Linked DNA regions of Drosophila melanogaster. The protein of the gene in region 2 interacts with the protein of the main gene of each other region in a pairwise test. Each region holds a gene or a part of one and is shown on either strand. Other genes may lie near its edges.

What was found.
Region 1: the proteins of nkd (region 2) and Hsf interact in a two-hybrid assay, tested with the Drosophila melanogaster proteins (one study listed by BioGRID).
Region 3: the proteins of nkd (region 2) and Kap-alpha3 interact in a two-hybrid assay, tested with the Drosophila melanogaster proteins (one study listed by BioGRID).
Region 4: the proteins of nkd (region 2) and dsh interact in binary tests that used the Drosophila melanogaster proteins (3 or more experiments, as listed by UniProt).

The regions. Positions count from the first base shown.
Region 1 is NT_033778.4:18,129,803-18,137,919, forward strand, and holds Hsf (heat shock factor), read right to left. Parts: upstream 4,833-8,117; 5' UTR 4,605-4,832; intron 4,307-4,604; exon of another isoform or gene 4,294-4,306; 5' UTR 4,279-4,293; coding exon 4,069-4,278; intron 3,311-4,068; coding exon 3,202-3,310; intron 3,140-3,201; coding exon 1,992-3,139; intron 1,933-1,991; coding exon 1,480-1,932; intron 1,388-1,479; coding exon 1,334-1,387; intron 1,244-1,333; coding exon 1,168-1,243; intron 1,105-1,167; coding exon 953-1,104; 3' UTR 501-952; downstream 1-500. Other genes in the region: Dlip3 (dorsal interacting protein 3), read left to right, coding at 1-203; Pcl (polycomblike), read left to right, coding at 6,122-7,609, 7,669-7,841, 7,897-8,117. UniProt on the Drosophila melanogaster protein: DNA-binding protein that specifically binds heat shock promoter elements (HSE) and activates transcription. In higher eukaryotes, HSF is unable to bind to the HSE unless the cells are heat shocked.
Region 2 is NT_037436.4:19,040,896-19,048,867, forward strand, and holds the start of nkd (naked cuticle), read right to left. Parts: upstream 4,555-7,972; 5' UTR 3,473-4,554; coding exon 3,409-3,472; intron 1-3,408. UniProt on the Drosophila melanogaster protein: Cell autonomous antagonist of the canonical Wnt signaling pathway. May activate a second Wnt signaling pathway that controls planar cell polarity. Required for neuroblast specification.
Region 3 is NT_033777.3:9,572,727-9,581,484, forward strand, and holds Kap-alpha3 (karyopherin alpha3), read right to left. Parts: upstream 5,008-8,758; 5' UTR 4,922-5,007; exon of another isoform or gene 4,882-4,921; intron 4,748-4,881; exon of another isoform or gene 4,584-4,747; 5' UTR 4,542-4,583; coding exon 4,482-4,541; intron 4,423-4,481; coding exon 4,042-4,422; intron 3,982-4,041; coding exon 3,151-3,981; intron 3,087-3,150; coding exon 2,910-3,086; intron 2,844-2,909; coding exon 2,748-2,843; 3' UTR 1,758-2,747; downstream 1-1,757. Other genes in the region: CG9399 (uncharacterized protein), read right to left, coding at 1-28, 523-563, 628-793; Son RNA binding protein, read left to right, coding at 5,454-7,370, 7,430-8,137.
Region 4 is NC_004354.4:11,353,083-11,360,957, reverse strand, and holds dsh (dishevelled), read right to left. Parts: upstream 5,078-7,875; 5' UTR 4,605-5,077; coding exon 2,733-4,604; 3' UTR 2,234-2,732; downstream 1-2,233. Other genes in the region: Pa1 (PTIP associated 1), read right to left, coding at 1,195-1,354, 1,421-1,629; CG1737 (uncharacterized protein), read right to left, coding at 6,423-7,875.

The DNA.
Region 1 (8,117 bases), on a different chromosome or scaffold from region 2:
ATTTTCTGACCAATCCCTTCAAGCGCAAGGCAACCCAAGCGCCGCTTCAGACCCAAGTGACGTCGTCCTTCAACGATCCCATCGAGCTCTACTGCCTATCGCTGGTGGACACACTGCGCAGCATGCGGAGATCGGAACGGGAGCGGGTCAAGTTCGAGTTCGCCAACATTCTGAAGGACGCCAAGTACAAGGACGAAAGCTAAGGCGTCATAGTCATCATTCTATACGTACAATTCTCGATTAGTATCCTTAGTGGTAGACAACGCACTCGAACACTTCCCACACTCCCCCTTCATTTATGTATTTACATACTTGCAAACAACTTGTAACTCTACGTTTCGAGTCCTAGGCTAAGGTTCTAGGTTAATTTGAGGCGATATGTGTCCATAGTCCATATCTCTTTAGTTGTATCAACATTGAGTCGAATAAAATTATGCACAAAACAAGGTTAGCAGCAAACGAAGTTTCATTGTTCCAAAGAAAAAGTACACATTTGATTTCATTTGCAGCTCAACGCGACATTAAACAATTTATTTTGAAATAATGATAAGAGTAGTGTGTAAAATGTATAAACTGAAGCGTGCGATCTTAAATCGTATACGATGCGATCAGCTTTCACTGTACTCTCGATCGGTTAGTGCAAACTAAAAATCTTCTACCTGCTGAGCTGGGGCCCGCAAAATCCCGCGATACAAAATAAATCTAAATCTTTACTGATTCTTCGAGTCTTTCTACAACAAGAACTGGTTAGTCTATATATCATATATATAGTGCATAAGGCATATACAGATCATTCATATGATTATAGTGGTTATTAATGTGATTATCGTATGAATCAACTAAATGGTTAGACAGAGTAGGTGATGAAAATTAACGTGTCAAGATTTGCATTTAACACTAAAAACGATTTGTTCGCCAATTTAACGGCTGAGCTGCTGCTACTTAATATAAGTTACAACTCGTGACGTGGCGTATTTAAAACCGAACTTTGCGTCTGCATCTGGCGCCTGCTGGCCTCCTGGTCATTGTTGCCATCGTCCGTGTCCAAAATGTCGGACAGATCATACATGGGCTGATAGGAAATCAGTTCAGAGCCACTGGGTGCTGCTTGAATCATCAAATAGTTTAGTCTCAAGCGAAGGAATTAATACTGAATTCCGAACAAACCTTTCTTTTCACTGCTTATGCTGTCATTGGGAAACGATAGGCCATAGTTGTCCATTAGATCAGAGTCGTTAAACAGCTATAAAGTATACAAATAAATCACATTGTTAGTTAGTTCTGCAGGGGAATTTTCAGACATGAAGGCCAGATGTGGACGTTTTGTGCTGACCTTTAAAAGCAGCTCGTCCTCCGGCAACTGAAAATTGGGCGTCCTGCTAAGCGCCTAATCATGTAAATAGAACATAAGTTAAATAATCATCGAGTCGGACAAACGGACAGCTAATACAAGAAATTCTACTCAATGTTGATACTTACACCCATGAGCATGTTCTGATCAATGGCCACCCCATCGCCACGCAGCAGATCCTTCAGTGTTTCCAACTCATCTTGCATGCTTTCCAAGTGCCCGTGGAGTTCGTCACTGCAACAGTAAGAATTAGCCGCTTGATTATGGCTTATCCGACTTGAATTCGTATTCTTCTGGTCTACTAACACTGAGGCCATCCTGAGGAGTTGACTGTTGTTGGTATCGCGGTTGTTTCCGTTCTCAGCGCCACTGTATTTGGCCACAGCCATGCCCTCTTCCTCAGATGCTTGCGCCTTGGCCGCTGCCTTCGATGTCGAGGCCTGATTGGCATCCAGCAGCGTACTGTTGGTGGGCACATCGAAGTTGCTGGCAAACTTGCCGCTGCTCACTGTCGATTGCCCAAATTTTTGTTGCTGGTCCAGTTTGGCTGCCTCTTCCACGCCGTCGGGAAGCAGAGCGTCCTAAAGAGTTAAGAGAAAAGAGTTAGCAACTACCATAAGATGTTTAAAATGTATCTTACTTCAAAAATATCCGTCGGCATATCCTCACTGATGAAGTTAACACTGTACAGATCGTTCGCGGGAGTCATTAGATCCATCAGTCCGGAACTGTTCTCCGGCTCAGACTTTATAATCATTGGCTGGACCATCACATCAGGTTGCGTACTATGCTGGATGCTTGTCCGTTGCGCCTTGGGCGACGAACTATCTACGAGAATATCTCCAGCATCAAGTATAACATCTCCTGCCTGTCGTCGTAGCTTGTTGTTCTCCTTAAGCTGCTGACGCTTCTGCTGCTCCTGCTCCCGCACCATGGGCGTGGTAAGCACATTCTGCTCCTCGTAATAAGGCGGACTGTTTGGCACCTCCTGGACATGAGAATCGGGCGCCTCGGTGACTGTGTAGACATCATGTTGGGCCGGCGATTGACTCACACTTTGGGCCATGGGAGAAGCGGCTCCGCCTACTAGAATATTACCGCCAGCGGTTCCATTTCCCTGGAGCAGCAAGTCCTCCACACTCTGATTCGAATAATCGACGTTGTGCGAGCTAATGCTCATGTTAGATCGCGGACGCTCAACGGCAGGCGGAGAGACGCTCTCTTGGTCATAATGTGAGGCTGCGGTGTAGCCAGCCGGTGATGGATTCATCACCTCATCAAGAAGCTCCTCCCTAAGCTCGTGGATAACCGGTCCGCCGCCACTCTCGCTCTCGGTCTCACTGGTGGTCCGTGCACGATCAATTTCCGGCGTATTGTTGATCATCAGCTGCACGTGGCGTTTCACGCCAGACATGTTGCGCGACGGTTGCACAATGGTAATGAGGAACTGGATCAGTTTGTTGACTATTTGTTGCTGCTTAGCGTGCTTTTGGCGCAGGCTGGCTATCTCGCGCCACAGCACTTCGTTCTCCTGTTTCATGGCGGAGAAGCGCGAATCCAGATTGTCCTGACGACCCCGCATGACTTTCACATCGGTGAGAATCTTCGACATGGCCTCCGGCTTCAGGACACCTTTGTCGTCACCATTTTTGTTGTTCGATATTTTCCTTTTGATTTGGTCAAGTAGAAAAGGCGAGTTGCGCTTAAAAAATGGGTGCGAAAATTCAATCTCGTCGCGATCAAAACGTAGTCCGCCATTGTCAATAGAGGTGATCTTGTGGAATCCATCTGCAAAGCACAAATTTTTTTTAGTTTTCAGTTGATGTTTCAACGATGTTTCATTTACTTACACATATTCAATTGCCTTATGAAGCTGGCCATGTTGTTGTGCTTGTAGTTTAGTGGCAATAGTTCCTTGGCGAATTGCGCTTGATTTTGTATAACGAAACTTTGGCCATCCTGCAAAAATAAAACGAAAAACGGAAGCGATATGAGAGTTGTGCTGATATGTAGTTGCCACAAACCTATTAGCGGTTGGCCGCAAACCAAAACCGATAAGCAACGAAAATAATTAGCTAATTGTAATTATATCTATAGATGCAAAACTATAGTTACGAGCCAAAGCTGGAACTAGTGTTCTTATATAATGTATAAAATGATCGTTTTAAAAAAATTCGTATTTTATAAAATTTGTCAACTTTTTCATTTAAAATTCAAATTTTTGTGAGATTTTTATGCGTGAAACACGCTAAAAATATTGGATTTGAAAATTAGATTATGTTACGCTCATACTCACATATTAATGAGTATATGTTGTCGACAAAAAATGGTAGGCTATGCTTATCAATAAACTCTTCGTTAAGAGTGTGTGGTAACCTAAGTGAGAACCAATTACTCTTATCTTAAATGAAAAGCCAACTGAATGACCAAGGGAAATTATTCGATTGTCAGTTGGAGATGGAAAATTTTCCAGAGTTCACGCACGTACGCATGCAAATGGCAACATCGACAACAACAACAAGATGAGTGTGTGGGGAAGGCAACTTGCATACGTGCGATGCGGCATGGGCAACAACAAAACAGAGAGCGAAACGCTACAAAGAGAGCTTGAGACACCTGCATGGCCAAGTCATTGTTGTTGCCATGCTGATTAGCGGTATGTGGTGGGAGGGGAGTCCCTGGAAAGGTAAATAAACAATATGGCGGCGTAGGCTTACCTTGGTCCAGCAAATCAAGCGATTGGTATCGGCATCGTCCACCAGGCGCCACAATTTGGCCAAAAAGGCCGGCACCCCGCTTCCGATGGCCGCGGCGTCTCCGTAAGAGTGCATTCTCCTGGAAGGCAGCTGCTCCTCCTCGTCTTCTTCCTCTTCCTCCGATTCGTGCTTGAACTGCACGGCTTTAGCGGATGAACGCGACCTGGACATAAAGTGACCAGCAGCCTGGAAAGGAGTACTACTCAATGAATTCACTGCACACCAACACCAACACAAACGCTTTTTTTCCAGTTTACAGTTCACTTTTCCACGCCGCTGTATGTGTGTGTGTTTAAGTGTGTGTATGGGTGCGGGAATCAGTGTGCGTGTCCAGGTACACCATACATATGTAAAATGTACATATGGGTACAATTTTGATGTGAAAGTTGCAGCTCTGATCGAATCGAATGTTTTCGGTTGCAGCCAAGTGCGTCATTCGAGCCACCAACTTGCACAAATGGAGCTCCAGTTCTTCTTCTCCTGCTCAACCTACTTACCTTAACAATTTTGCAGCTCACAAACCTTTCGCGAAGTGAAAAACTCGCGTTTTACTTGTTTAGTTTAGTTATTACACTTCACTTTCTTGGCGTACCGCTTTTGTTTTACACAGTTCTTCGGTTTTTAAGTGCTTTTTCGCGTTTTATTCACAAGTGAAAATTTAATGAAACCTCCGTCAAGTAAAATTGCTTCTGTTCGCAGCGTGACCAATTTGGTAAAAACCTATCGAACTAAAGTTCGCTGCTATATATACCATTGCTAGCTGTCTGCTTGGTCCTCTGGTTTTTATCTAGTATTTTCTGGCGCGCAACTTCGTATTCATATAATTGACCCCAATTACTAGATGATCATTATACTAAAAACTTATCAAATTCTGTTATTTGTTTTTAAAGCTAGTATTGATATGTGTACCCATAACATTAATTGATAGGCAACTGTCGATTTTAATACGGCAGACCAAAGGATAGGGATTTTAGTATTTGGTATTTTCTATTTGATATCTTTAAGATAATTATGAGTTAAAATTAAAATTAGTTGGTTTGATTTTAGATAAGTTGTACATAAAAGCATACAAAGGGCATACTTACTAAAAAAATTAACATTCATTTTGAAATTTCTATAGGATTTACTTTGACAATCAAAAAGTTTTACCTTAATATAAATGTTAGTTTTATTTTTTTTAATTTGATTTAATAATTGTCACTCTACATTTAAAATGTAAATTATGTATGATATTAACGTTTTTGAATCTTTAGGAAATATTTAAATGTATTTTCTAGTATTTTCCAGGACGAGACCGCTGAGTCTTTGCCGGCACAGTGGGGATAATTAAGTAAATTTATGGTATATTTTATACGTTTCGATATATTTAAAAATATAAAAATGTAAAATTGTGGTGACAAATTTCCAATATTTCTTTATTTATTTTAATCAAGTTAATTTTATTACCATAACATACATAAGTTGTGGTAGATTTATATATGAAAATGTAACGAAAAGAACAATTGTTGGATGCGGTCACACTGGTGGGCATATGTTGAAAAATGGCTGACACAAATTAATTTTCAAGTGATTTGTTTTGTGCATTTTCGCTGGTGTTAAAGATGAACTTGGGACAACGACGTTCAAAGCCGATAGCCGAATCAATAAGAGCAAAATGCTAATTTAATGCACGATTCGAAACACACTTAAAGGTGGGTAAATCGGCAACCGAAACTAGAAGTGCCTGTGGTGCGTGTGGAAAAGTACGAATGAGGAAGACACAGAGAATACAAAAGGGCCCGCTCTCCAGTCCGTATGTGTAGCAAAAGTGTGCATGTATGTGTCGGCGGGCAACAACAAATTCGACGAAAAAGGCGCCAGATTAATGAGCTCGTGTTAATCAGCGGGAAACAATCGCAAAATCAATGAAAAAACGGGCCGCGAAAAGCCGGCAAATCGAACTGAAGATCCATATTTTTCACAAAAGACTGCGCACTGGAAAAATCAACGCATCTAGCACGCACACACAGCCGCAATGATGAACAACCATTTTCACTTGCAACACGATCATCCACCGCAGAACGTGGCACATCCGTTCATGCAACAGCCGAGTACCGCTGTCCCATCAGCTCCTCCGGCCACCTACGGCTACTTAGCACAGCCAGCTGGCCAGCAGCCGCAGTGGATGACGACCACCTACCAGATCCTGCCGCCCAGCGTAGGACCTGCCACGGTGGCCAAGCGATACTATGCCACCACTGGGCCGCAGACCACGCATCCCACACATCCCAGCACCATCCAGATCACGAACAGTTTCGCTCAGCAATCAACGCCACCGAAGCAACAGGCGGCAACAAGCTGCAGCCCATTCAAGGCCAACAACATACGAATCATCTCGACGGCGCCAAGTGTATACAGTCTGAATAAGCCGCCACAGGAAGCGCACTCCACATATGCTCCCGTTCAGTCGTACTACTTGCCCAGTGGCGGTGGCCAAACTGCGGGACAAATCAATCTACTGGCGGCCAGCGGAACTGGCAAGCAACTGCAGCCGCCGCCGCTGGTGCCTGTGACCAATTCCACCTCACCGCCCTCCACCGTCGTGTTAGACCGCATAAACATTTGCATCAATAACCACTATACGGAGACGCCCACTTCGCTAAGTTCATCGCTTACCACGGCCCAACAACCTTCGCCCATCATACCGGCCATCCAGCACAAGGCCATCCTGCCCCTCATCGACAGCAGCACGGCGGATAGCAGCAGCTGCAGCAGCAGTTCTGTATCCAGCAGCAGTTATAGTGGTACCGCGACCACCTCAGCAGCAGTTGTGATTGTGGATGAGCCGGATTCTACGACCACAACGCCACAGACACCGCCAACTACGCCGGAGGCCATGAGTTCACCCGGTAAAAGTTCGCCCTCGCCTCCGCTACTAGCCACGCAATCGCTGCTCAAAGGCGTCAACTCAATGAAGCCAAGCTTCAAGACCGTCGAAGCAGCACCGCCAACGCCGCCAACACCTCCATCACCACCACCACCGCCGCCGGCACCACCAGTTGCCGCTCCCTCGCCAGCGGTCACGTATGCGCTTCAGGAGGACGTCTTCATCAAATGCAACGATGGCAGATTTTACCTGGGCACCATTATTGACCAGACAAGCGATCAATATCTTATCCGCTTTGATGACCAGTCGGAGCAATGGTGTGAACCGGATAAGCTGCGCAAGCTAGGTGGCGGTAGCTCGATTACCGCTGGCGGAGGCGGTGCCTCTACCACGGAATCCACGAATACCTCCCCCAGTGGACCCATGTGCGTGGCCTGCAAGCGATCGGATATCGAAGATGTGGTCGAAATTTGCGAGCGCTGCGGACGTGGCTACCATCGTGGTTGCACCGTTGAAATTGTTACTGGCAGTGGAATTTGGAGTTGCAAACGCTGCGCTAAACCCATGAAAATGCAACAGCCTGTCAGCCATAAGATCACAAAACCAGCGGGAATTTGTCGCCAGTTGCCCTACCATGTGAGTATTCTACGAACCCAAGCCAGCGGATTAGATTCTTAATCCGGTTTTACCCACAGGCGGATAAGCTCAGCTGGGATGAGAAGCATCGGGTCAACGAAGAGCAGATCTACTGCTACTGCGGCAAACCGGGAAAATTCGATCACAATATGCTGCAGTGCTGCAAATGTCGGAACTGGTTCCACACCCAATGCATGCAGAACTTCAAGAAGAAGCTGCTGCGCGGCGATATGTACGTATTCAATTGCTTTACTGTGATCTAAACTGAAATGAATCTCATTGTCTAGGTTCTTTGTTTTCTGCTGCACGGTCTGCAACAATGGCATAGAATTCGTTCGTCGTATGCAAATCGAATGGGTGGATGTGCTCCACATTGCACTATACAATCTGCGAAAGCATCAGCACCAGAAGTACCATCACCTGCTAAATGACATTTGGCCCTTCATACTCGAGCAGCGCCACCAGCTGCCTATCTGCGAGAAGTGGCGCACACTGCCCGAAACGGCAC
Region 2 (7,972 bases):
CAATTGCTAAATCAACACAAACAAAAGCCGATGACCAAAACAAAAACCTCAAAAGTCATTACATATATCTTGAGTGGCCCCAACCCCCGGGAAGCCGAGGCCTGCAGAAATGCAGAAGCTACGAGCTAACAGCTTTTTATCTTTTGGCACAAGGCGGCACAGCATTGTTTTGGTTCGGTTCGGTTCGGTTCGGTTCGGTTGGGTTTGACTTGGCTTGGCAGCCACCTTCGAAAAACCAGTCCATTGCGGTGGACCAAAACCCAAAACAAGGCGAAATACCCATCGGATCTGGACGATCCGACCCGACCGATCCAAACGCAACCGAACCGGCCATATAGGGTCGCTGGCATATCGAAAGGCAGAGCGGCAACTTCCTGGCTAATATTACGAAAATTGCTTATACCAGGCTATTGCTCCCTGGCCATCCCCATACCCATACCCATACCCATAACCATGCCCCAACCCATAGCCATAGCCAGTTCCATTCCCCTCCGATTCTCGAGTTCTGCGGATCAGCCAAAAAGTGCCAAGTCAAAGTTGGTAGTGGCAGCTAGAGCTGGTGCCCGCTTCCCGGACCTCGGGGCTGCGATTTGAGCCCGGTGCGGTTCGAGCCACGTTGCTTTCAGCCTGTCATGAAGGCAATGCCGACGCGATTCGCCTGTTGCCTTCTACCGTAATTCACAACAACCACAGCCATAATAATAACAGCAACAGCACGGTATCGAAGAAAAGCCAAGGCGAGCGTTGTAAAACCCGCAGAAGAAACAGTGGTCACAAGTGCATTACCAAATATACAATTAAGTATGGTAAGCACAAATAAATGTTATATGCATGATCAAAAGACATAAATATAAGTATACTTAAATGAAAACCTTTTTAGTTACAATAAGTATAATAATTAAGGATGCCACATATGATCTACAAAATATGCGGATCCCACCTGTAAGTATGGCTTAAATGCATCTATACAACGTGTCTATTAAATCCTATTTAATCTGCTTAAAATCTTTCGAACATCAATAGCCTCTCAGGTTTGGGTTTCATATCATCCCCGCCCGTCAGTGCCCACGATAATCCCCATTCAAACACACGATTTTTAACCACTGTGCACGACGGCCTCTGGTGCCGCGCCTCAAAGCAAAAAGCGCATCTTTTGAACAGAGCGCAAAGCGCAGCTTGGCAGTCGCAGCATCGGCGCGGTGTGTATCTCAAAGATACAAGCAGAGTACGCTCGCTGGATCGCTGGATCGCCGTTCCTCGGCCCGTCCGTCTGTGCGTCCGTTTGTCTGAAAGTCGGTCCGTCCATCTGTCCGTCTGTCGATCGTCGGTTGGTCTCTAAACCGCTTTTGTGTAGCCGCTGCTGAGATGTTTGGCATAGTTGGCCTGGCCGCGGAACTGGTTGGATGTGGATGTGGATGTGGATGTATCTTCGAGATGGAGTTGGGGAGTTTCTCAGTTTTGGTCGGAGTTGGGGCTGCAGATGGATGGAGTGGCTCAGTTATTATTATTTTTGCTTGCGGCGGCGGCTCGACGACTTGCTGCCGCTGATGTCCGATGTTATTGTTGTTGTTTTATCAACGTGAGGGTTTTAAAAGGTTTTTGTGTATGAGTCGGCATCGGTATCTTGGCCTCGCAGCAGCTGCTGCTTTCTACACAGGAAATAATTATTTGGCCTTTTATAATTTTAACATTCAACAACAAATATATCGTGGCAAATCTAATTATTCATGTGATATTTTACTATCTGCGTAATCACTTTTAACATTTTGGATTTATGTTAATATAATATTTTACTAAATTTCACTATTCTTTTATAATTTTGCCCATTATTAATGTAATGTCTTAGGATTAAAGTGTCACAAAACAATGGAATTTTTTCCCAGTGCATCCATAAGCAACGGGCCAACTCCACCTCCATCGCGGCATCGACTTGCCTTCGGTTTTACCTGCAACAGGTAAGAAATGTTCGTACGTTGTTTTTAAACGGCGTCGGCATTTCAATTCGCTTGATTTTCATTTTTTGTACGACTCTCTTCCCGTTTGTTGTTGTGTAGTGTTTTCGAGGCTGCTTTCTTTGAAGTTGCATGCTTCGGTGTGCCTTTGGAGGTTTCCTTTGAATTCCCCCTGCATCTGCCAGCAATTAGTGTACGGGGCTTGTCGTCCTGCAAAGGGTTCAAAGTGTTGGCCTGGCATTTAATTGGCGCAGACCAATTGCCAGCCGATGCCGATGAGGAGGAAATCTCTCTCTGGGGCTTCAAAGCGAAACAAAACAAACCAATGAAAAAAAAGACTCCAGAAAAGTAAAGAGGTGGATGGGGGCCCCAGAATATTTCCAATGAATTTGTGGACAGAAAAAAGGAACCCAGGGAACATTGATTGATTGATGTTACTTCAGCGATTCGGACATCAACGTTGCTCGTTTGGCAGAAAGGTCGTCCGATTCGGTCGTCCATTTCCAATTCGGATCGGATCCCACTTTGGAAACACGGACCTTGTTTATTTACGTCCATGATATGCTACCCATGACTAAGGAGCCGATCTCTAAGCAGCAGCAGGAGCCAAAGCGAAACGTTCTATTGATCGCGATCGCGATCCCTATCCCTATCCCGATCCCTTCGCCTCTTCGATCTGCTTCCAAAAAAAATTCTATTTATTTTCCATGGGTCGCTTTCCTTTTGATCTGCCCTGCCGTTGTGTTTTTCTTCTTCAGCACCATGCCCGATTTTCCGTTCTATTTTTGTGTGTCGCTGCTCCGGCATTCTCCTACCCATTTTCATTTCCATTTCCAAAGACCACAAGCGAACGAACGGCTGTGTATCTTCCAGATAAAAATGCAGCCGGGCGATTGCCTACATTTTATTTTCAACTTTTAGTTGTTCGCCGTAATTATTGGAAAAGGATGTGGGAGAAGCCCTTGACTCAATGAATTCGAATACACACATACACACAAATACATACATATCTGTGTGCGGGTGAGTGAACAATTGTTTGGGAGAAGGTAATATTTTAGATCTTCGGCCCAGATAGTCGTATGTTAATGGGAATGGCCTTCGATAAGAGGCCACGGAAAAATGAATAAGGAAAACATTCTGCATGGGTTAGTGGTTTTAGTGTCAGGTAGGTGGATATAGGAATGGATCATTATTTCAATAGTAAATGCAATTATAAATCAATAATTATATATTCCTAAGCGACTTTCTTCATATTTATAAGATATCTTCCTGCGAATCCCTGACTCACTCAATATTTCAATTTAATTTACTTGACTGTGGCCAACAAATTGTTTCCCTGAATGCTATCGCCCAGCTGTCTCTCCCCACGAGAGCATTAACATCCATCTTTTCCATATCTGCTGCCAACTATCTGGAAATTCACTAAACAAGTTGAGAACGCTTGGCTTTCGCTTACCTGAGAATTGTTTGTAGCCGCCGAGAATTTTATGCTTCCACCATTTGACAATGTTACCCGCCATCGCTGCCCGGATATATGTACCTATATAGTTCTATATATAAGCGGGTTGAGGATGCAGTTACTTGGCGGTGTCTTGGATTTTTCGGTGTTTCTATTTTCCGTTTTTCGGGCGGCGGTGGTGGTGGTTGGGCTGGAAATTTACGAGTCCTGAGAGGAGGAGACCTGCAGTATAGCAGCAGCCCAAAATGTTTTACGGCCCTTGTGTGTGCGTTCTGCGCTCCCTGGCTGGCTATCCTTTTGTGTAAGGATCTAAGGACTGAGACTAATATACTCCAGGTAGGAGGCGAGAGAATCCTCCGCTTCCACTTCCACAGCCACTTCCCGTTCCACCGTGTTTATGCGCTGCCGCTGGGCGACCTTAATTTGTATCTGGTATTATTTTCGACTGTGCGGGTGGCAAGTTACCAGTCGTAGTCGCTGTCGTAAAAGTTTTTACAGCTCTGATGTGCTGCATTTTAGTTTAATTTGCGCATATTGCGCTGCTTTATTTGATCTACGTGTGTGTATCTTGCAGATACTCGTACTCGCGCTCGCACTCGTGTATATTGGTACCTTTGTGCCCGCTGCGCGCGTAATTTTAATTGTAAAACATTTTCGCCGACTCGATTTGTTTTTCGCCAGCCGTTTTGTTGTTATTTATTCAATTTTTTCTTTTTGCTTTGCGACGACGTAAATAACTTGGCGTATAAACAACAAAAAACAACAAATGCAAAAACACGATTTATTTCCAAACGATTGCGACGAGGGCGACGGCGACGTCAATTTTTCGGGGGGTGGCGTACCGGTTGTTTTTGTTATTGTTGTGGGGGCGGTTTTTCGTTTTTCGTTTTTCCTTTTTGCTTTTCACACTTGATTTTTCTCTCCGGCTAGAAAATTAAAACTTCACTGGGCGTATCTCGCGGATACATTTATTCATTTGATCAATTTCCAATTTCAACGATAACTTCACTGGGCCACAACAATCCGTTCGGTCAGTAGTTGTTTTGGTGGGCCAAACTACGCGTATCTTCTAGATCCTTTCCGCTGTATCTCCGAGTCTCAGTTCACACGTCTTTTCGAATCAACGGACGAAAACAATCTGAATGCGAGTCGTTCGAGAATCGAAACATTGCCCGTTGTTCGAAACTCATCTTCGAGCGCCGCTCTTTCTCTTTCGAACACGTTCTCTCAATTTCGAACTCGAAATTTGTAAAGGCGTGTTATCTCTTTTTCTATTCGAAAAGGGTATGATGGAACTCTGGTTCATGACAAGCAACATATATGAAATGATATAAACAAATATTTTTCTTTCTTCTTTATCTTCTAAAAAACGATTCAAATTTTACCAGTAAAAAATTAATAAAATTTATTTATTTTTATTTACATTTTTTTTTAACCACTGCAAATACCATATGTTTTGTTTCAAATTTATACATTCACATTTATGGAGTATTTTCCTTTTAATAGCTACTAAGCTAAACTATACTAAAAATTCGAGTGATATATTTTCAGTGATTTTTCCATTTATAACAGAACGTTCTTAAATATTGCATACAAAGAAGCAATTATTAGAGCAACATATTTGATTGCAGCGAATGCCACGCCTCAAATTTAGAGCTTTCTTTTGGCTTACACCTTTCAAGCTGAATTTTGACTGGTAGTTACTGCCTCCACCATCGGTTTTTGATTATACACGTGTTTGGATAATACCCGGTTTTAATTTGCCTCTATGCATAGCCGCAGCAGAAAAAAATTTGATTGTTTTTAAATTTGATCTCAACCGCTGCCCCTGCCCCAATTTTCGCCACGCAGAAGAAGCCGCCTGCTGAGCTTGAACATCAGGGCAATTACCAACCAACCAACCACCAACCAAAAAGTAACCCCAAACCCAAGCTCAAACCCGCCGATAATAACAGAGCAAGGAGAATCCTGAATTACGCCGCAGAGGCAAAAAAAAAAATATGAAGAAACACAAAGCTCTTTCTTTCTCCGGCGATCGAAAGCAAGTGGAAGGAACCCGCGGTGATCGGCTTGCCTTTAACCCACTGAGGCCCAATGTGGCAACCTGAAAAATATTAGTGTATTTATGGAGGTAAAATATAATATTTTTGCATACTTCACATTTACTTAAATACGTTAAATAATATAGTAATAACTAATATCGTGTTAAATTTCTAGAGAGCTAGTAACTGAAACATCAACTGTGTACCTAGTCGATTATAAGATATTATGAAATTTCAAGAAGAGATTAAACTAACAAAACCTCCTTATATCTTGATGTTCCATTAGGCATTATATGTTCCTAATTATATTTGAACGTTTAGGAGGACCAATATTCTTATGTAGAACTTCTAAATATGTACCGCTCTCAAGGGGTTAACTTTGCCCTCGGGGTCCGCAGGCTTTCGCACCGTAAAACGTTTTCGGCTTTCGGTATAATGGCGCTGTAATTGAAGAAGAACACGCGATCGAACGGAGGGTGAGGGGATCGAGAAGGGGCTCCGCAAAGGCGGCGGAGGGAACCTCCTTCTAACAGAATGGTTTCGGTCTGGGTCTTGTCTCTCTCTTTGTCGGACCCTCCTTTGTGGTGCCTTCGTCATACATTGATCCATCGTCTTAATTTCAGGAGGAGACGCGCCGCGCGTCTCCTGCGCTCCCTACATTTCGGATGCGGGCCCCTGATTGATGTCGGGAATCTGTCCGCCCTGTAGCCGATGATATTGATTTATGTTTACTCCGGTTTCGCATCCGAACCCCAACCCCAGCACTTTGTTCTGCCGAATTTCGCACAACATTTTGCCGCTTTGTATTTGACAAAAGTCGGCGGACAGGACAGACGGGCTGCAAATGTAATTACCCAAAAACGAGTGGAACATGTCTGGCGGCCCAGCAATCCGGTGGGCGCGGTTCCTGTTCATATGTGACTGACCCACCCGACCGACCATATAAAGGGTTCCCTGACATTTGTCCCTACGATGACGATGACGATGACGATGACGGAGTGACGGCCATGGCAACTGTCGCTGTAATTGACAAGGAGGCAGTATTCGATTCGCTCTGCGTCACTCCCCAGTGCCCCCGCCTTTTTGCCCAGTTTTCCCCCGCTTTCCACAGGCAAATCCCTATCTTCACACACATGGGCAATGCTGATGAGTTTTTGAAGGGTTAGGCGAGTTTAATCGGGTCCTATGTGGCGTGTGTGTTTGCATTAGGGAGTTGATTAGGTTACGGGGGTCATTTTGGCTACAGGAGATAAACATAATTGCCTTGTCTCGAACGTATTTCCGCAAAATATGATGCAGTTCCAGGGCACACATTAATGGGGCAATTTGATGAAGTATATTTATTTAATTCAATTGTAATTTAAATATTTTCGAAGCGAAAAGGATCAATCTTTTAAATAAATCGAATAAATAAATCGAACCAATAATCATTAAAGATTAACAATTTAAGCACCTATTAATTATCCCCACTGCTTTTGTTTAACTTCTAGGAACAAAGCAAATATCTCATTGCTAAGAATGGTTTTCAGCAATTGATGATTATTTTTTTTTTCACATGCCAACAACAAGACGCTCTAAATTTTCCAAATATTTTCAGTAAATAATGGGCAGCACATAAATTAGATAAGCAGATATATTTTTCAACTTGCGTCACAATCGAAGCTGCGCTGGATCTCATTAAAAAATATATATTTTCACGATCGGCTCGACGAAAAGAATCCAAATTTATTTTTTTAGTTTTTTGGAAGTCGTAAACGAATGAAATTGAAATAAATATCATATGCATGGGGTCGTGTACATTGTGAAACTATTCAATAAATTAACTTTGTTGTAAGTGCTGGCCATAAATATTTATATTTTATAGTATTTGTACGCTTGTCGTAAAATTCAAATGAAGTTGTCCCCCAATGATGGTCGACGAGTGGGCCGCGTTTATAAACATATTTCCAAAGCAATTATGAATTGTAGTTTTTGGCATTCGTCGGCTGACTGACAGGAAATTATATTGTGTTATAGGCCATAAAACTGGCAGGTCCGGAGAACCAAATGAGCCCCCAATGAGAGATCTTCAGTCCCATTGGTAGGTAGCATGTGCAACAGGCCTTTTGCTTTTGAAGTCCCCACCCCACCTCTCTGCGCTCAAATGACTTTTTACCCAGAAGTCGTTAAAAAACGACGAAAATTTCCAATTAATTTTGATAAACGCGGCCCGCAATGAAAAATATAAGATGCATATTGGTTTGGGGCTGGGGGAAAGTTTGTTTGCTGCCCCAAAGCGGAAATTGTAACTGTGCATTGATTGGGATGGGGGCCGGGATGGGGAAGAGGTGGGGCTGGGTAGTGCAACCAATTGTTGCTTATTAGGCCGAAAACATTAAAAATCTATCAAAACAACAACAACAGCGATGAGACAACAAATTGTTGTCTACGGAATGAAGCCATTTCAATCAGCCGTTTTATGAGTGTTTTTAGGCGCTTTTTGCCCGCCTGCCTCAACTGGATTTTTACGATTTTACATT
Region 3 (8,758 bases), on a different chromosome or scaffold from region 2:
AGTCACTCAGGCCGGCGGCAACGAGACCCTGGCAAAGGAGATAAAGGATTCGATTGCTTATTTAATTTTTGTTTTAACTAAAGGACGCGATATGCTTAGGCATCTTCAGTTTCTATGTTTTAGTGCCGCTATGGGAGATCTCAACTGGCTGTTCTTTGTTTTATTTATTTGTGGCTTGATATATGTATGTACATAAGTATGAGGCATCTATATGCCTACTATCGAAACAAACAAACTAACTAAATAAATCAAAAGTTTTTGATTTTTTTGGGAAACTTTTTTTCATAGGGTTCCACAACAGAAGGCAATCCGCTCACGAACACAACCGTATGCGGTTGTTATCAAGCGCAGGTTGCTCGAAATAATCAAATAATTTCATTTAATGGCACCTGCGCTCAGATTTGTCTACCGTCGTTTCGGATTTATGGTGAACTATAGTATGTGTGCGATAATGAAAATCAGCGAAGGTCGTGCGTTGTCCGAGTTATGTAATCCCATCCGTCTGGCTTTCTGTCTACTTACCCATTTGAAGACGGGTGCCCAAAAGAATATCGTCTTGGGACCTGGAATCAAACCGAACCTAAAGATGTGCTCTTTATGTAGCATAGTGGTCTATGTGAGGCTTACCAGCTGGATGCATCCACAGTGGCCGCAGCTTGGCGGGCACAAATTTGTCGGCGGCGCCAATCATCCCGTTGTACAGCTTGGAGTGGATGCCCTTTCCGGCGGAAGGGACGGCCGATGGTGGCGGCGGGGGAACGGGCGGCGGTGGCTGAACGGCTGTGGACGACATTTTGTTGTTGTTGCTATTTGTGCGAAAAAATTCCACGGGTTGCAGTGATGATAATTTATGCGTCCAAACTCGTTGGCTGGCAATCACAAAATAAAATCTACTATGAAACGCTAAACAACAAAAGCCAAAAAGCTTCGTGAGAGAGCGAAAAAGACAAAGAGAGCAAAAGAGAGAGCTAGCACCCACACAGCCGCAAACTCGAACAGCTGAGCGCGCTATTTTCTAACGTGTTTAATTTGACACGTTAAGGAAATACCTATACAATTGTACCTACAACTCGTACTTGACTTTCTAAAAAGTGCAAAAATCATGCATTCATCTTTAGGAACAGGTTTTTGCACGATCACAGGTTCATTAGCTATCGCACAACATCCTTGACCTTGAGGAGAGTGTGCCAATTTCCGCAATTTCCGCAGCAAAATGTTGACGGAAGCAAATGTGTCTGAATCGAATGCATCGCTACCAATACAAGTGCAGCATCTCTATAAATAGCAGGCAAATGCAAGTTTTTTAGGAGTCACGCGACAACAGTGATGCGCCATTTTTCACTAATACAAAAAAATTAATATCTAAATCTTATATTTATTAAATCTCACAGGAAATGACGTATTAAAACACATACAATTACACAATTATAAAAATAATTTTAGCACCGCAACAGCTGGGGTACTACAGCTAGACAATCTGCCATCTCAAATTCTAGTGTTGGTAAACGTTGTCCCGCCTGCATATATAAGTCAAAGTATACTATTTTCGAAAAATTAGGTAAATTTCAGTAAAAGATTTGTACTGCACGAGCTGGAACCACTTTCATAAAGTTAACTTTCATCACAGAATTCGGAATGTCCTATAAATAATTATAGAAGCCCATGTAGATGATGGGTAAGTTACACGTAAATATTCTGAGTAGTTCCAAAAACAACCGCCAGGCGAAACTTTCTTTATATGAAAGAACGAATATGTAAAAGTAAAATGAAGAGCTATTTATTCCCACACTCCTCAAGATTTAAAAGTAAAACATACATCACATCACTCAACTAAATCTAACTGATTTAAAGTATCCTATACTGTATACAGAACACTAGCGAAACTGATGCTTTGCAGATAAGTCATTAATACAATTTGATCCCTCAATTGAGGGAAACGCCCAGTCCCTTCTGTTGCAATCCGAATTCGATTTTCGATCTGATTGTTTACAAATATTTACTCGATCTGTTGCCATGTGAAAGCCGATTTTTCAGCTGCCCTGCCAGGTAGACGGGCAATTGCGCATTAATGGGAAACGTGCTCAAGTGACGCACTAGCTGAAATAAACGCTAATTATTAACAGCTCGGCCGACGGACAACTCGAATGCCTGGTCTTGAAACGCGACACACTTGTTCTTATAAAATTCCGCTTAACTTATCTGCCTGGAAACAAAATGATGAGTTGCCTTTTGCTTTTATCGTTTTCATGTTAGAAATGTATACATATGTAATTTCAATTACAAATCAGAAGCGTAAATATTTAAATAATTTCATATAAATCAAATAGGTCTACATTCTTTTTGAAATCTGTTTCTCATTCCTGTGTTTATATTTTGGATGATCTATAGCAGAGTCGCTTCAATCGGAGAAGTCCTTGCATTGCACATTCACACACCCAAGAGTGTGTGTATGTCTGAATTTTGTAATTTTGTTAACACAGAATTGAGAGAAGCTAAAACGGCTGCAGCGGATTATCCGTTGTGTATCCTCCAGAGTTCCTATTCTCGTCCCTAAAACGAACCCGGCTGTCTAATTGCTGCTGTGTGGTGGACAAAATATAATGCTATTATTATGTGAATTGGTTGACGGCTCGTCGGGCTTGTTCATACACAAGCGATTGTGTACGAATAAACGCCAAATTATGTGGTGTTGCACGTGTTTGGTTTTCACTTCACTGCTACTGCGCGGCTGCTTTCTGATTAAATCGTTAAAAGTTAAATGAGTTCATCGTTAGCCTATCGGCGTGTGGATCGAAATTGTATTGTGCGCCGTCGGAGGTCGGTGCCATGTTAGTCTGTTCGCCCTGTAAAGGATGCATCAAAAACGTTTTAGAATAATAACAAACGGTTGACTTAAACTGTTAGCTCACCTCATCAGTGAAGTATTGATCGATGATCTCATAAGCTAGTTTGTAGATTTCAACGTTTTCGTGGCTCTGCAGACGCTCGATCTTGGCCAGGCCCTCGCATTCCTCAATGCAGTTGGCCACCGCCTCAACATGAGAATCGGCCACTTTTAACATATTGTTCAGACCATCCAAAACAACCTTTAAAAAAAAGGGGAATGTGTTACTCAAAACAAATATGTGAAGAGACGCAAATTATACTTACATTTATAACTTGCGTATCCTGGCATGAAAGGAGGTCACAGAATGGCGGAATGACGCCCTCCTTGATCAAGGTGAAGACCTGTTCGCGGTTGCCGCTAATGGTCAGATTGCTGATGGCCCAGGCAGCCTCCTTCTGTGTCTGGAACTCGCCCTTGCTTAGGTTCTCGATAATTTTGGGCAGGAGACCCACGTTAATAACGGCCTGCACCTGCGATTGATTTCCAGCGGTTATATTGGAAAGGAACCAAACCGCCTCCTTTCGGATCTTCTCCTTGGGATGCGAGAGCAGGCCCGGGAAGTAGGAGAGCGCGTCGTAGTTGAGCACAACCTGTGTCTGCTCATCCGATCCAGTCACAATATTGCCAACAGCCCGCAGTGCGGCTGTCTGTACCTTGACCTCGCTGTTGCCCAGCAGTGGTATCAGCTTGGGTACAACTCCACTTTCAATGACCATCTGGATCTGATCGTTGCCACCGTCAGTCAAATAGCTGATGGCCCAGACCGTGTCCACCAGGATGTTCGTGTCGGTGTGATGAATGAGCACATTGAGTGCGGGCAGGATCTCATGAATGGTGGCTGTCGGGGGAGCCGGATCCTTGTTGCGGCACAAATTCACAATAACCCATGTTACATTGCGCAAGAATGTGATGGGGATGTCTGGCTTGATGAACGACAAAAGTGGCTGCACGACTCCGTGCTTAATGACAAAATCGCGGAGCAAAGGACCATCGCCTATGATGTTGCCCAGGGCCCACACGGCTTGTTCGCAAACATTGGGAGCGGGCGAGTTGAGAAGTTGAAGGAAGAGCGGCACGGCACCGGCGGCAACAACCTATACAGGATTATATTGCATTAAAACAAAGAAAGTGCTGAGAGGGAAAGCTGAACGTACCTCGTTGGTCTGAGCCGATGTGCCAGAGGCAATGTTGGTCAGGGCCCAGGCGGCCTCGAACTGGAGCATTGTGTGATTGTGTTGTTTGAGGCACTCCACCAGGATGGGCAGAATGTCGCTTTGGATCAGATCGTTGATGGGTGGATTCTTGTCCGACGACAGCAGCTTGCGGGCAGCCTGAACAGCGGCCAGTTGCTGTTCCGGCTTGGTGGCGTCTGCGGCTGCCTTTGCCAGCTTCTTCAGGTCAATGGACGAGGACAACTGCTCCTCCTCATCTGTGTTCGAGTCCAAATTGGGCACATTGCGACGCTTGAGAATGGTCTCTTCGCGCTTGTTCTTCCTCAGCTCAACGGTGACTTCATTTCTCCGACGTCGCATTTCCTGCAAATTAATTAATATTATAATGTTTCCCATTTCAGCGGTAACTTCTAACTACTCACATCCTGGTCTTTCCCTTTGTTTTTGAAGTTTTGTAAACGATTTTGCTCCATAGACGTCATTTTGTCTGATTTCCTTGTATAAGGGTTTGCTTTTTCGATTGGCTGTTAAAAAGTGAGTTTTTAAAAACTATTGAATGCGATGTTGGCGACGTACGCCTCCTAGCGTATTCGATGAACAATTAATAATTTGTTTCAATTGCACACCAGCCAATGGGAAAAATTATTCGCACCCACACCAGCGCACATCCACGAAAAAATAACGTAGAATCGACCAACACAGTTGCAGCATAACACGATGGCGCAGGCATTGAAAAAAGGAAATGGCGAAAAAATACATGAAAATTAGCAATGCAACGGGCGAAAAAAGTGTTTCTCTTGGTCCTCGGTAGAGGATACTTACGTTTTTAGCAAGTAAATCGGGTTTCTCCCACGACACATACACTTTCTACGTCTTTTAAAAGTGATAAAATTCTTTCCTTTTTATTAAAATTGCAATCAGTGACAACGACGTGAGTGAAGTTGGCTGCGGTTGGCAATTCGGGACTGCCCACTTATAGGCAGGGTCGATTGAAGCACCAATCGTCAGATCTGAATTTATGTCGACTTATTTTTTAAATTTAGAAATTTTAAGTTTACTCAGTTGGAGTTGTAAGCTTATGAACCAGTTGAACATTATTTAGGAAATATTTCATTTGTCTTAAAAAGCATTATAGCAATTCTTATTATTTAGGTTTTTTCAAGCAGGCGCTTGTCGTGACGGTACTATTACACAACTCTAGCAAAGTATCGATATCTTTGAGCCCTGCGAACTGTAGATACCATTACGAGTGTCATCGCTATTATTGAAACTTCTGTCCAAGCAAGACGTGCAGAAAAACGCTTAATCGCGAACAGCGACAAATTCGCTGATCTGTTGCGGTAATCTATTAGCATGCATAGACACTAGGACGATCCGCGCCCAGCGAGAGAGCAATGACGGAGAACACAGAGAAAGGGGCGAGCGTAGAAACGCCTCAAGTGGCGGGGTCTCAGACAAATCCTCCGGTTCAGGAGCCACTTGCACTGACCAAGATTCCGCCAATTAAGGTAAAGAGCGAACGACCGGACGCAGAGGTGGAGGCCAAACTCCGGGCCATGAATGCCAAGATCAAGGCGGAGATGGTGACTTTGATGCGGAGGAGCAACAGCAATGAACTGGGCAACAATGACGAGTCGGGGGAGAGCGAGAGCTCCGCGTCGGCGGACGACAAGAAGAACATTAAGCCTGTAAAGTCCTCGAACGAGATCCTTGCCGAGCTGTTCGGCGTATTCAATGCCGCTCCACCAGAGGAACTTCTAGACGACAATCTGTTCAAGAAAAAGAAAAAGGTGAAAAAGGAGAAGAAGGATAAGAAGGCCAAGAAAAAGAAGACGACCAAGTCAGATGGCGAATGCAGCGACTCGGAGGCGGAAGGCAAGCACAAGCATAAACGTAAGAAGCACAAACATAAAGACATCAGAGTCAAAGACAAGGAGAAGGATCGGGACCGGGACAAATCTAAGGAGAAAGATCGGGACCGCGTTACGGACAAATCAAAGGAGAAGGATCGGGACAGGGACAGGGATAGGGACAAATCCAAAGATAAGTTTACGGCAGCACAAGCTCCCTCCGAGAAGGAGAAAGAAAAGTCTGAGAGCCGGAAGCGCAGCGCTGTGGAGCCTTCCAGTCATTCCGAAAAGCGCGAACGACATGAAAGGGAGAAGCATCGCGACTGGGAACGAGAAAGGGAACGGGAAAAGGAGCATGAAAGGGAACGCGTCCGCTCCAACAATAGCTTTTACAACGGGCAACGTGAAGCGGATCGCTTGAAAGGATCTGAATCAGCGAGCACAAAGTCACGGCAGGAACAAGATCTCTCCGATATCTCGCTCTCCGATGAGGAGTCGTACCTCCGGGAGAAGGCTTCCAACGGCCGTAGACGGGCGCACAACAGCTTTTATGATGAAAAGGAGGAATTGTCGGTTTCACCCAAGCGTAACGTGCGCGAATCCAACACCAGGAGAAACCGAAAGTCAAGATCTCGCTCGCGTGACCTCGGCATAGACAAAAAGCGCTTGCTCGAGATTGCGCGACGAAATGCCATTAACATGTTCAAACAGGGAACTATGCCCGGTGTGGCTAACATGACTGCAGAGGTCAAGGACAAGGTTCTCGTCAAGATGCGCTACGGAGGTCGCACTATTCAAGATCTTACCGACTTCTGCAAAAAAATCTCCAACGGCGACGGCCTGTCAGATCTGAGTTCAGAAGAGGAGTCCGATGTGGACAAGAATGGTAATGCGAAGGTCTTCCATCATCCCTTTCAGCTGAAGGAGCGCGAGCCAATTGTGATGCATATACGAAACTCAACGGCGCTGGTTCCAGCACCACCTCGACTGGACGAGCAAACAAAGGCCATAACCATGCAGTTCCCGGTGTCGTCGGGTCAGACCCATCGCAACAATGAGGTGTGGGTGCCGGTGGATCCTAAGGACTCGCTAGTGCCGTTGCCCTCCCTACCGCCAGCAAAACAGGCCACCAATATGTTTAAGGAAACGCCGAAGAACGTGTTCGCGAAGTCGATACCCTTGCAGGAGCAGCAGGAACCCGCCTTTAAGCCACTGGGAGGAGCAGTCGTAGTCCCGCCCTTAGCCGCCACTCAATTACCCACTGTTCCTCAATCCGTCCCGCCAACCGTTCCCAAAGAGTTTGCCCCTCCGGCTGTTCCCTTCGTTCCCGAGGTGCCCATCCCGTCAACGTCACCCGTAACACCGATGCAAAGTGCTTCCATTTTTCCCGATGTTACGCCGCCTTCCATGGACGTGTCCAGCATAATCACCCAGCGTCTTAGTGCCATTCGACGCCTGCAGGTGAGCTCTAGAACCATTTGTCATTTTAACGGTTGGCTTCATAATTTTGTTTATCTTAGGAGAATCCGGCCGACTCTGAGGCCCTAAAAATGATGTACACTGCGCAACGCAACATGTCATCGTGGGCCAACTCAAAGCATCTGCCCGGTCAGTTCACGGGAAGCACGGGTGCCCAAGTGATGAAGGCACATGAGCTGAACAGCGGTCCGCAGCTGTGGGTGCGCAAAGACCAAATGACCTCCACCAAACCGGTGACTGGGGGCATGGGCATGGCGCTCCTGCAAAAGATGGGCTGGAAACCGGGCGAGGGACTGGGCAGATGTAAAACTGGATCATTGCAACCACTTTTGCTGGACGTCAAATTGGACAAGCGTGGCCTGGTGTCGCGCGATGACTTAAGGCCACCGCAAATGCGTGCGCCGGCTGCCCAGCGAAGAAATAAAAACATGGCGGGACCAATTGGAGCTGGCCCCTGTCCAGCAGTTCAGGGTGCGGGACCTGGACCGTTGGCGTCCACGCCGCTGGTCACCCAGGATAAGCATCCCGTGTGTGTGCTCAACGAACTGACCTCGAAGAACAAGTGGATGCCGCCGCAGTATAAGCTACGTCAGGATATCGGGCCCGCTCACAACCGTTCCTTTCTCTTTTCGGTCGAGATTAACGGACAGACCTTTACGCCGGATCGAGGAAGCAACAACAAGAAGGAGGCGAAACTCAATGCGGCCGCCTTATGTCTGCGATCTTTAGGCATTCTTCCGCCCAGCTAGTGATCGAACGTTGAATAGGCTAATTTCTAGATAGTGAATATAATAGAATCCCCACACTGTACATAAAATTAGCCCTATATTTAAGTTGTAAAATCTTGTTCGTCTCCTTTGGAGCGATGACAAATATAGTGCTAACATCAAAAATGATTGTTAGTTTGACTAAAATTACTGATATTTGATGTACCCCTAACGTTATCATTTCTATTATTTATACACTACTTACTTTAATGCTGTCCTTAATATCAGTTATAAATTACCTGTTTACTTCTAGTTCCTTTTAGAAATGCAAGTTTCGTATTTGAAGTGTATTTCCTTCCCTTATTAAATTGAATATTTTAATTTAATTTTTGACACACACATTTTTCCAAGTGTAATGCCCGTTATTTGGGAGAGGAGCTTTAACGCGCGAGCTTTGCTCACTCGCCAAACGGGGCTTTTGCGCAAGTACACAAACAAAGTCAGCTGTTCCATCCGAGTGGGTTAAACAAGAGTGGGCCGTGTGGACAGAGACTGGCAGTGGTTGTGGTGGTGGGAGTGGAAGTGGAAGTGGGAGCATCGGCGCTGCAAGTTCCAAAAGATTGCTCCTCGACGAAGGTCAGTTCACGCGGAAGCTCGAACTTC
Region 4 (7,875 bases), on a different chromosome or scaffold from region 2:
GATATTTCCGAAATAAATCAATTTTCTTACGTGTTTAAATGCTAACTTTTATTAACTGCGAACCATTAGGTTAGCAGCATATGGGAATTCTAATCTACACATAACATCATATAATGATGTCATTATATATAGAAGGTTTTTCTACGAAAACGAAAGGGATGGAGTTACGTTTTCCGGAACAACCTTGGCTTATCATAATTCTTAGTAGTCTATTTTTAGCTCATGAGAAGTTGATATTGTTTAGTAGGGCAACTGTGCTGATTCATTTCGTATTAGTTGTATGTACGGAAGTTGACTGATCTACAGTTGCCTTACTAAATAGTTATCTTACTCATCTTGGATTTAAATGTACATCCGTTCTATCCTACATTCTATATTCTAGTTTTAACAGCTATTAGTGAAATTCAGTTCTTTTATGTACAGAAGTTGACTGATCTACAGTTGCCTATCTTGTTATCTGCTTTACTCGCATTGGATTTAAATTTACATCCGTTCTATCCTATATTCTATATTCTAGTCTTCAAACGTCGGTTTCGGACAATACTATCAAGAATATTGTCATAATATATCAAATAAAGACAATTAACATTTAGAACGTAAATTTCCCACGTGCTAATTAAGGATCACATACACATCCCTCTGCTTAAACATAAGTTGATTAGTTCTATGCTATCTTCTCAATTACAAGTTCTTAGTCTAAAATGAAGAACTGACCAATGCAATGGGAGTTAACATCCTTAACAGCTAGTTATGCATATATGGTAATTGAAGTTCAAACTTCTCTGAGTTGCAACTTGTTGGTTCACAAAGTTTTTTAGAATTCCAAAGACTGCTGCAATTTAAGCTACAAGCTAGTCACATGAATATGGTAATTAAGTCATAATATGCCTATGTTTTGATGTTTAAACTTCCTCTCTAGATGCTGACTAATAAGTCATAATAAGCTTATGTTTTGATGTTCAAACTTCAAACTCTCTAAATGCTAACTATAAGTATGGTAATTTAAATCTTAAGTAAATTGAAGTTCAAACTCTCTCTAAATCCTTACATTAATGCGATTTGCAGCAGAGCTCCACAGCCCATCCTGTCGATGGTTGTAAAACGACTGATGCTTATAGACTAGTCCGCATGGCGATAGAGTACGATCTGCAGCCGATTGCCTGGACCGGATCAGCATCAGAATTTCGGCGGGTGCTATGAGCTCTCGGCATTCTTCTTCTTCAGCGTCTCCATGACGCCGGCGAAGTTGGCCGTCTTCTTTTTGGCCGACTTGGGCGTGGACGTCTGGCTGCGGACGCGCATCTGGGTGGGGGCCACATCGTCGCTGAAATCAAAGTCGTTGGCCTTCTGCGGTCTGCGGGGACACGAAAATCAATCATAAGTTATGTTAACCTTCGGATGGTGCTGCACTTGTTCTTACTCCTGCTCAATGGCGTCGGTGGCCTGTTCGAGTTCCTTGCTATTGCCGCCAGATCCCGCCTCCGGCGATGGAGCCCTGCGTCCCGGAAATTGCCATTGCAGTTCCGGAATATTTCCCGCCTCCAGCATCAGATAGTAGCCCTCTAGCTCCTCCGCGTTGGCGGAGAACTTGTCCGCCGTATTCGCCGCCGGCTCCACATCCGTTGCCATCGTTTTCTCGGATTTAAACAATCCAAATGAACTGGAAATTTGCGTTTCTTTCCACAATAGAACCTATTGGTTTCGCGACCTTTCTGGAATGAAAGCGATAGTTTGCTTTGGCGTGCTTATCGAACAGTTATCGAACGTTCGTTGCTATCGATTTTCGGGCTTAGTGTTGCAAAGTGTCCGAGCTGGGCGGTTGATTTGAACACATTTGCTGCTCGAAATGGATTTTCTATTTATAGGTTTCATTATTCTCTTCTTTATTAAGTGCACACCCATGCCCGGAATGTTTCCGCTCCGAGTGCACACAACTTCGAGGATTGTTCTCGATGGCGCATTGTTTGGTTTAGGGGGAAGAACAATATTATCTTGTTGAGACTTTTACTTTTTAGGATGGAAAGTATGTGTTTAAATATTGTTAATCTGTACAAAGAAATAAGAACTAACAAAAATTAGACTTCCTTTTTAATGTATATTCCTCAAATTACGAACAAACGCTAATATGTTTTAGGAATATTTTAAAAGTCTTCTTGGCAATTTGATTTGCACTTGAAAACAGCTAAAATGCGTTAAAGAAACCAATCTCATGCATATGGAAAAGCCATCGATTATTCATTTTATTTGTATTTATTTACTTTGTGATTACTAAATTCTTAGAACTTTATTCAAAATCATTCTCGCCCGTCATGCTGCCGTTCCTGCTCCTCCGCTCCGCTCCGCATCATCCATATATATATATATATATATATATATATATATATCATATATCATATATCTCAGTTGATCTGATCTGATCGGGTCCACAACCGATTGCTGCCGGACACGGATATCCCTGTGCTGATCCTCCTGCTGCCTCACGAGCCCTCGCTGATCCTTGACTCGTTGCGGCTGGGTGTTTAGCGTTCTTTTCTATGACTTACACATACCATACATATACATAAGTATTATTATTATTATTATAATTATTATTATTATTATTATTATAATTATAATTATTATATTGTGGTTTGCTGTTTGCTTGCTTTGTATACTCGTATATAAAAAAGAATAATCGTACATATTTAATTTAATTAATTAAAAACACAATTTGATTGCAAAAAGAAAGGTTTCTACAATACGTAATTAAATACGGATACGTCCTGATCGTTGGTATTGTTGCCGCCACCGCCACCGCCTCCGCCGCCGCCCCGATTGGAGGAGCCGGATGATTTGTTAGAGCCATGAGCGGCGATGGTCAGCTGGTTGGCCTGATGGATCACCGAGGTGATGTCGCTCTGCGACGCCGAGATATCCTTGCTGGTCAGCACATCGCTGCTACTCGATCCCGACGAGATGTGTCGCTCGGCGATGCCGTACTGGATCGGCTGATAGCCGTGACTTGGATTGTACGTGGCCGAATATGGCATATAAATGGGCGGGTTCGGTAGCGGCCCGATGTCGCTGGTGATGCTCTCGGTGTCCGCATGGCTAAGCGCATGGCCGCCATGCCCGTGCGGCAGCTGGTGCGGATGCAGATGTCCTCGGCCCAACAGATTGGGATTGCGCTCCTCGTTCACCACGTAGTAGCACTGCTCCGAGAAGGTCAACTTATTGACCGTATGCTTGATGTAATTGCTGCGCAGCATCGCCGAGACGATCCTTCGCGCCTCCCGCCTATCCTGAACATCCTCCACATTCTCCAGCACCCAATTGACCGCATCGGCGCCGATAAATGCATTGGGAATCGTTATCTTTAGCCACATGCGATCCCTGATCTCCAGGCCGCTGTCCGGCTTCGTCATCGCCTTAACGATCTCCTCGAGGTTATTCTGGTCCAGACGCTCCTTAATCGGCTCCGCAATGTCGGCAATAATACTGTCGTGCGATGTGAGGGCCTGAGTGTGCGCCACCCAAGCACCGGGATCGATGGGTCGCACCGGCTCCGTGCGCGGAATGGTGAAGTAGCCCTTGGGATTTGGGTCCCAGCACTTGGCCACCACCAGCTTGATGGGTCCCGGCTTCTGAACGACTTCTCTCAGCACACGTACCGCCTCGTCGTTGGTCATGTTCTCGAAGTTGACATCGTTCACTTGGAGGATCATGTCGCCCGGTTCGATGCGTCCATCGAGTGCCACTGCGCCGCCTTTCATGATGCTGCCCACGTAGATGCCGCCGTCGCCGCCGCGATTCGATTGCCCGACAATGGATATGCCCAGAAAGTTGACCGCCTCCATGTTGATGGAGACGGTAATGATATTTAGGGACATGGTCGAGTCGGTTATGGAGCTGTACGAGGAGGTGCGCGACATGCTGGGCGCCCGTTTTTTGCGCCTCTGCGGCTTCTTGCGCACCTGCAATCGCTGAACGCTGCTATAGTCGGTCATGTCGCGGTCCAGCGTCAATTCGGATTCGGTGCCAAAGAGACTGGTCGAGTCCAGATCGCTGGAGAGCACGGATGCCGATTGATATGTGAGCGGTGGCGGCTGCAGCAGCGGATTGCCCATCATCTTCTGGTGATGGAGCACCTGCTGCTGTTGCTGCTGCGCCAGCTGGACAGGCTGCACCTGCTGCTGCTGTTGTTGTTGCTGTTGCTGGTGCTGCTGCTGCTGTTGTTGTTGCTGCTGCTGATGCTGCTGCTGTTGCTGCTGTAGCTTCCTGTTGGTCAGACCCATGCCCAATTCACACTCACTGGTTGGCAGCTCGGAGCAGTTATCTGACTGATTGGTACCATCGGCGGAGACCAGCCAGGACACCACTCGCCCATTGAAGCAGGGCAGTATGGTGGAGTCGTCGGCTATTTCCTCTTTGACCACACCGAAATCGGCGTCCATTGACTTGAAGAAGTACTTGTAGTTGTTGTTCTGCTTGTTCAGCACCAGCTTGAAATCGCGCAGCGTCACCTGGGCGGATGGAATGGGGATCTTCACCAGATACGGCGTCGTCTCATCGTCGATGTGGTATATCACCTTCGTCTCCTGCCCGCCGCCCCTGTCCGCGTCCATTTTAGCTGCGCCGACTGCGGAAATCCACGGGAAAACTCCTCGACGCGATAAAACGCGATCAAAACGAAATGCGATGGATGCGGTGGGGAGGTGGCGTGGGAAGTTGGTGGGGAAAAATCACAGGGAAAACGGGATTAAGCCAGGGAAAAGCCGATACAACAAACAAAATTCACTCGATTTTGCTTTTCTCCCCCTGGTCGCTCTAGCCCTCTCGCTCTCGCACGCGTTTCTTTTACTTTTTCTTTCTCTTTTTTTTGGGCTGGGTATTTCGATTCAATGGAAGCGGCGGCTGTTAATTCGTCGATTTGCACGGCGTTGATATTGCTCCATTAGCACGATTTGGTGCGCTTTAATGTCGGTGCACGCAGCGGGGGCAGGGCGAAACGAGCATATTGCTAGTTTATCAATAAATTTGTTAGAATTTTGAGACTAAAAAAAAACAGTGTGTTAGCCGCTCGTCACGCACGGAATGCCAAAGCGCCGGGCAGTTGGTCACACTGCCGGCGATGCCAGACCCTTTCGAATTCGAACATTCTTAACATTTTCTCAAACGAATATTCTGAAAAAGCGTATGGAAAACTACTAAAAACTGCAATGTATTTAGTTTCTATTGGAAATGCTCTCTCTAACGATATTTGCTTTACAATTTGAATGTAGTTCAAACACTTTTAAAATTAAATACCAAAGTTATCGATAAATATCGTTTAATTTGAATACTTATTCAAAACAATAAATTTATTATAATTTAACAAAATAGCAATTTCTATTACATAAAACATGTAGAATCTAAAACTACAGCTATATTGAACTCTTAATTGTATTAATTTACCATATAATGATGTAGCATAGTTGAAGAGTGTCCTGTTTAAAAGTAGAGTCTTTATCCTTGTCATGGAAACTTGACCAAGGAAACTCATCCATCCATCCACTTGAAGCCTGCGTTCCTTATCTTCTTTCGCTTTTCACACGAAAATCTCTAGCGTTGGCCGCAGTTTATTTATAGCTGCCCGATTTCCAGATAACCCCGCCCGCCATTTATCACGCAATGGCGCTCGTTATTTAAATCAGTTTTCTCTTTTATTTGTATGCTTTGAATTGGGATCACTTAGATATACACTCGACTAACTTACTGGCTAGTCCTCCACGCGGGCGTAGGCACATGTACGCCCGGTTTTATATTATTGAATCGACTACGATAATAGCAATTTAAAAAAAAAGGATTTCGAAGGGGGCGGGACTCGCGGGGAAGGCGGAGGGGGGCTATGTATTCCAACGCATTTAAAATAAAAATCATTATTGATATACCTCGACCGCCCGGAACTTCGCAATCCCTTCGAGAGTTGGGCGAGCATTTTACAATTAATTGTTTTCTTTAGTTTAGTTTATATTACATAGATACATCTGCCGTTTGTATTTATGTATGTCCGTCCGCTGTTTATAATATACGAGATATATATATATAAAAATTTATATAAATATATATATATATATATTCATATATATAAATATATAATTATATATACGTGTATATATATTAATATATATTTATATACATACATATATATATATACATATAAATATATATAAATTTACGCTACACTAGCTATTACAACTAAGTTAATGGTTTTACAAAAAAAAACTTGTATCTGTTTTATTACAACTACAGCATAAAACGAATTATCGAGTGTCCGCTTTGTTTGTTTGTGTATGTGTATGGGGGAGGGGGATGGGGATGGGGAGGGGAGTGCTGTGTGTGAATTATTTTTTACAATGTGATACGTGCTCTTCCTGTGGCCACCATGGACCAGGCCTCCACGCTCACTTAGCGTTGACCAGCTCGACAATGTTGCTGCTGATCGAGAGGCGATCGACGATATCCAGCAGGATCTCCACATCCTTGATGGTGGCAACCGTCTCGGGGGCACCCAACAGATTCACATGCTTGCCATCGATGTTCGCATAGAAGCATTTGTTCTTGAAGATGACGGCCCGATCGTAGGGCACGCGGCACGTGTTCTTGTCAACGACAACGCGCCGGAAGAGCACGCACGACGGCTGATACTTGTGACGGTCCTCCTCGGGTATGTTGTACGCCTTGAGATCGCCCGTAAAGATGGTCATTGTCTGGCGGGGCATCATCGACGGCGAGACCTTGTACAGCGTCACCTTGCTGGTCCATTTGCCCGATGGCACCTTTATCCGTGACGCCACATTGGCCAGCTTGACCAGCGCCAGCTCCAGGCAGGTGCGCTGCTGGCGCGCCATCTTCGACAACATATCCTTGGCCGTGCTAACCACATGCCACGTCTCATAGCAGGTGATCTTCTTTACCACACGACCATCCTCCTCGTGAAACGTTGTGGTCTCGGGCGGAAAATATTTGGGACTGTTGGCATCGTCGATGCCACCGCCGGTGGGCAATATTTCGCGCAGCGTTGTCAGCTCCTTGTCGCGCTGCTGCTCCTGCTGGTTCTCCTTGCTGCGACGCTGCGGAACCAGGCTCGGCTTCTTGAACACCGGCTGGACATCGTTATCGGCCAGCAGATTGCTCAGCCTCCGGTCCGCAATCAGCGCATTCACCGACGACGCTGTCGTGGACAGCACATTGCGCCGATTGTTGTTCAACTTGTTAACCGCTACCGCTGCTGGAGCGGACGTCATCGCCGCCGACGCCGCCACCGACGTCGTTGTCGTCACCTGCTTGGACTTGGCATTGGCATTGACATTGGCATTCTTACGGGTAACAATAGATACCGGTATATTATCGATATCAAAATCGAGATCTGGATCCGGATCGTCCTCTTCGGTGTCGACGTCCGTGGGACAGAGCTCCTTGCCCATGCTCATCAGCGGTTTCATCGACTGCGTCTTCTTGCCCATTTCCGCGTTGAGTATCCTGGGCCGGGGCTTCGGCAGTTGACTCTGGATATGCACTGGTCCCATTTTGGTATTGACACTACTGTTGCTGGCCAAGATCTTGATGCGCTTGGCTGGATTCCCCGCCGTCGTATTGTTGTGGTTAACAGCAGCGGACAGGGATTTCTGCGTGCTGTTAACAGTGATGGATTTCTTATCGCCGGCAACCGAATTGCCGGTTCCGATATTCTTGGTACGGGGCCTGCCCAAAGCGACCTTTTTGATTGAATTACCGCCAGCTGCGGAAGCGGCCATAGCAGTGTGTGATCTGGAAATGAGCACATCGTCCTGATTGATAATGTCATCGATGTTTACAATGGTGAATGTGGGCATATCCTCCGATTCGGAATCGTTT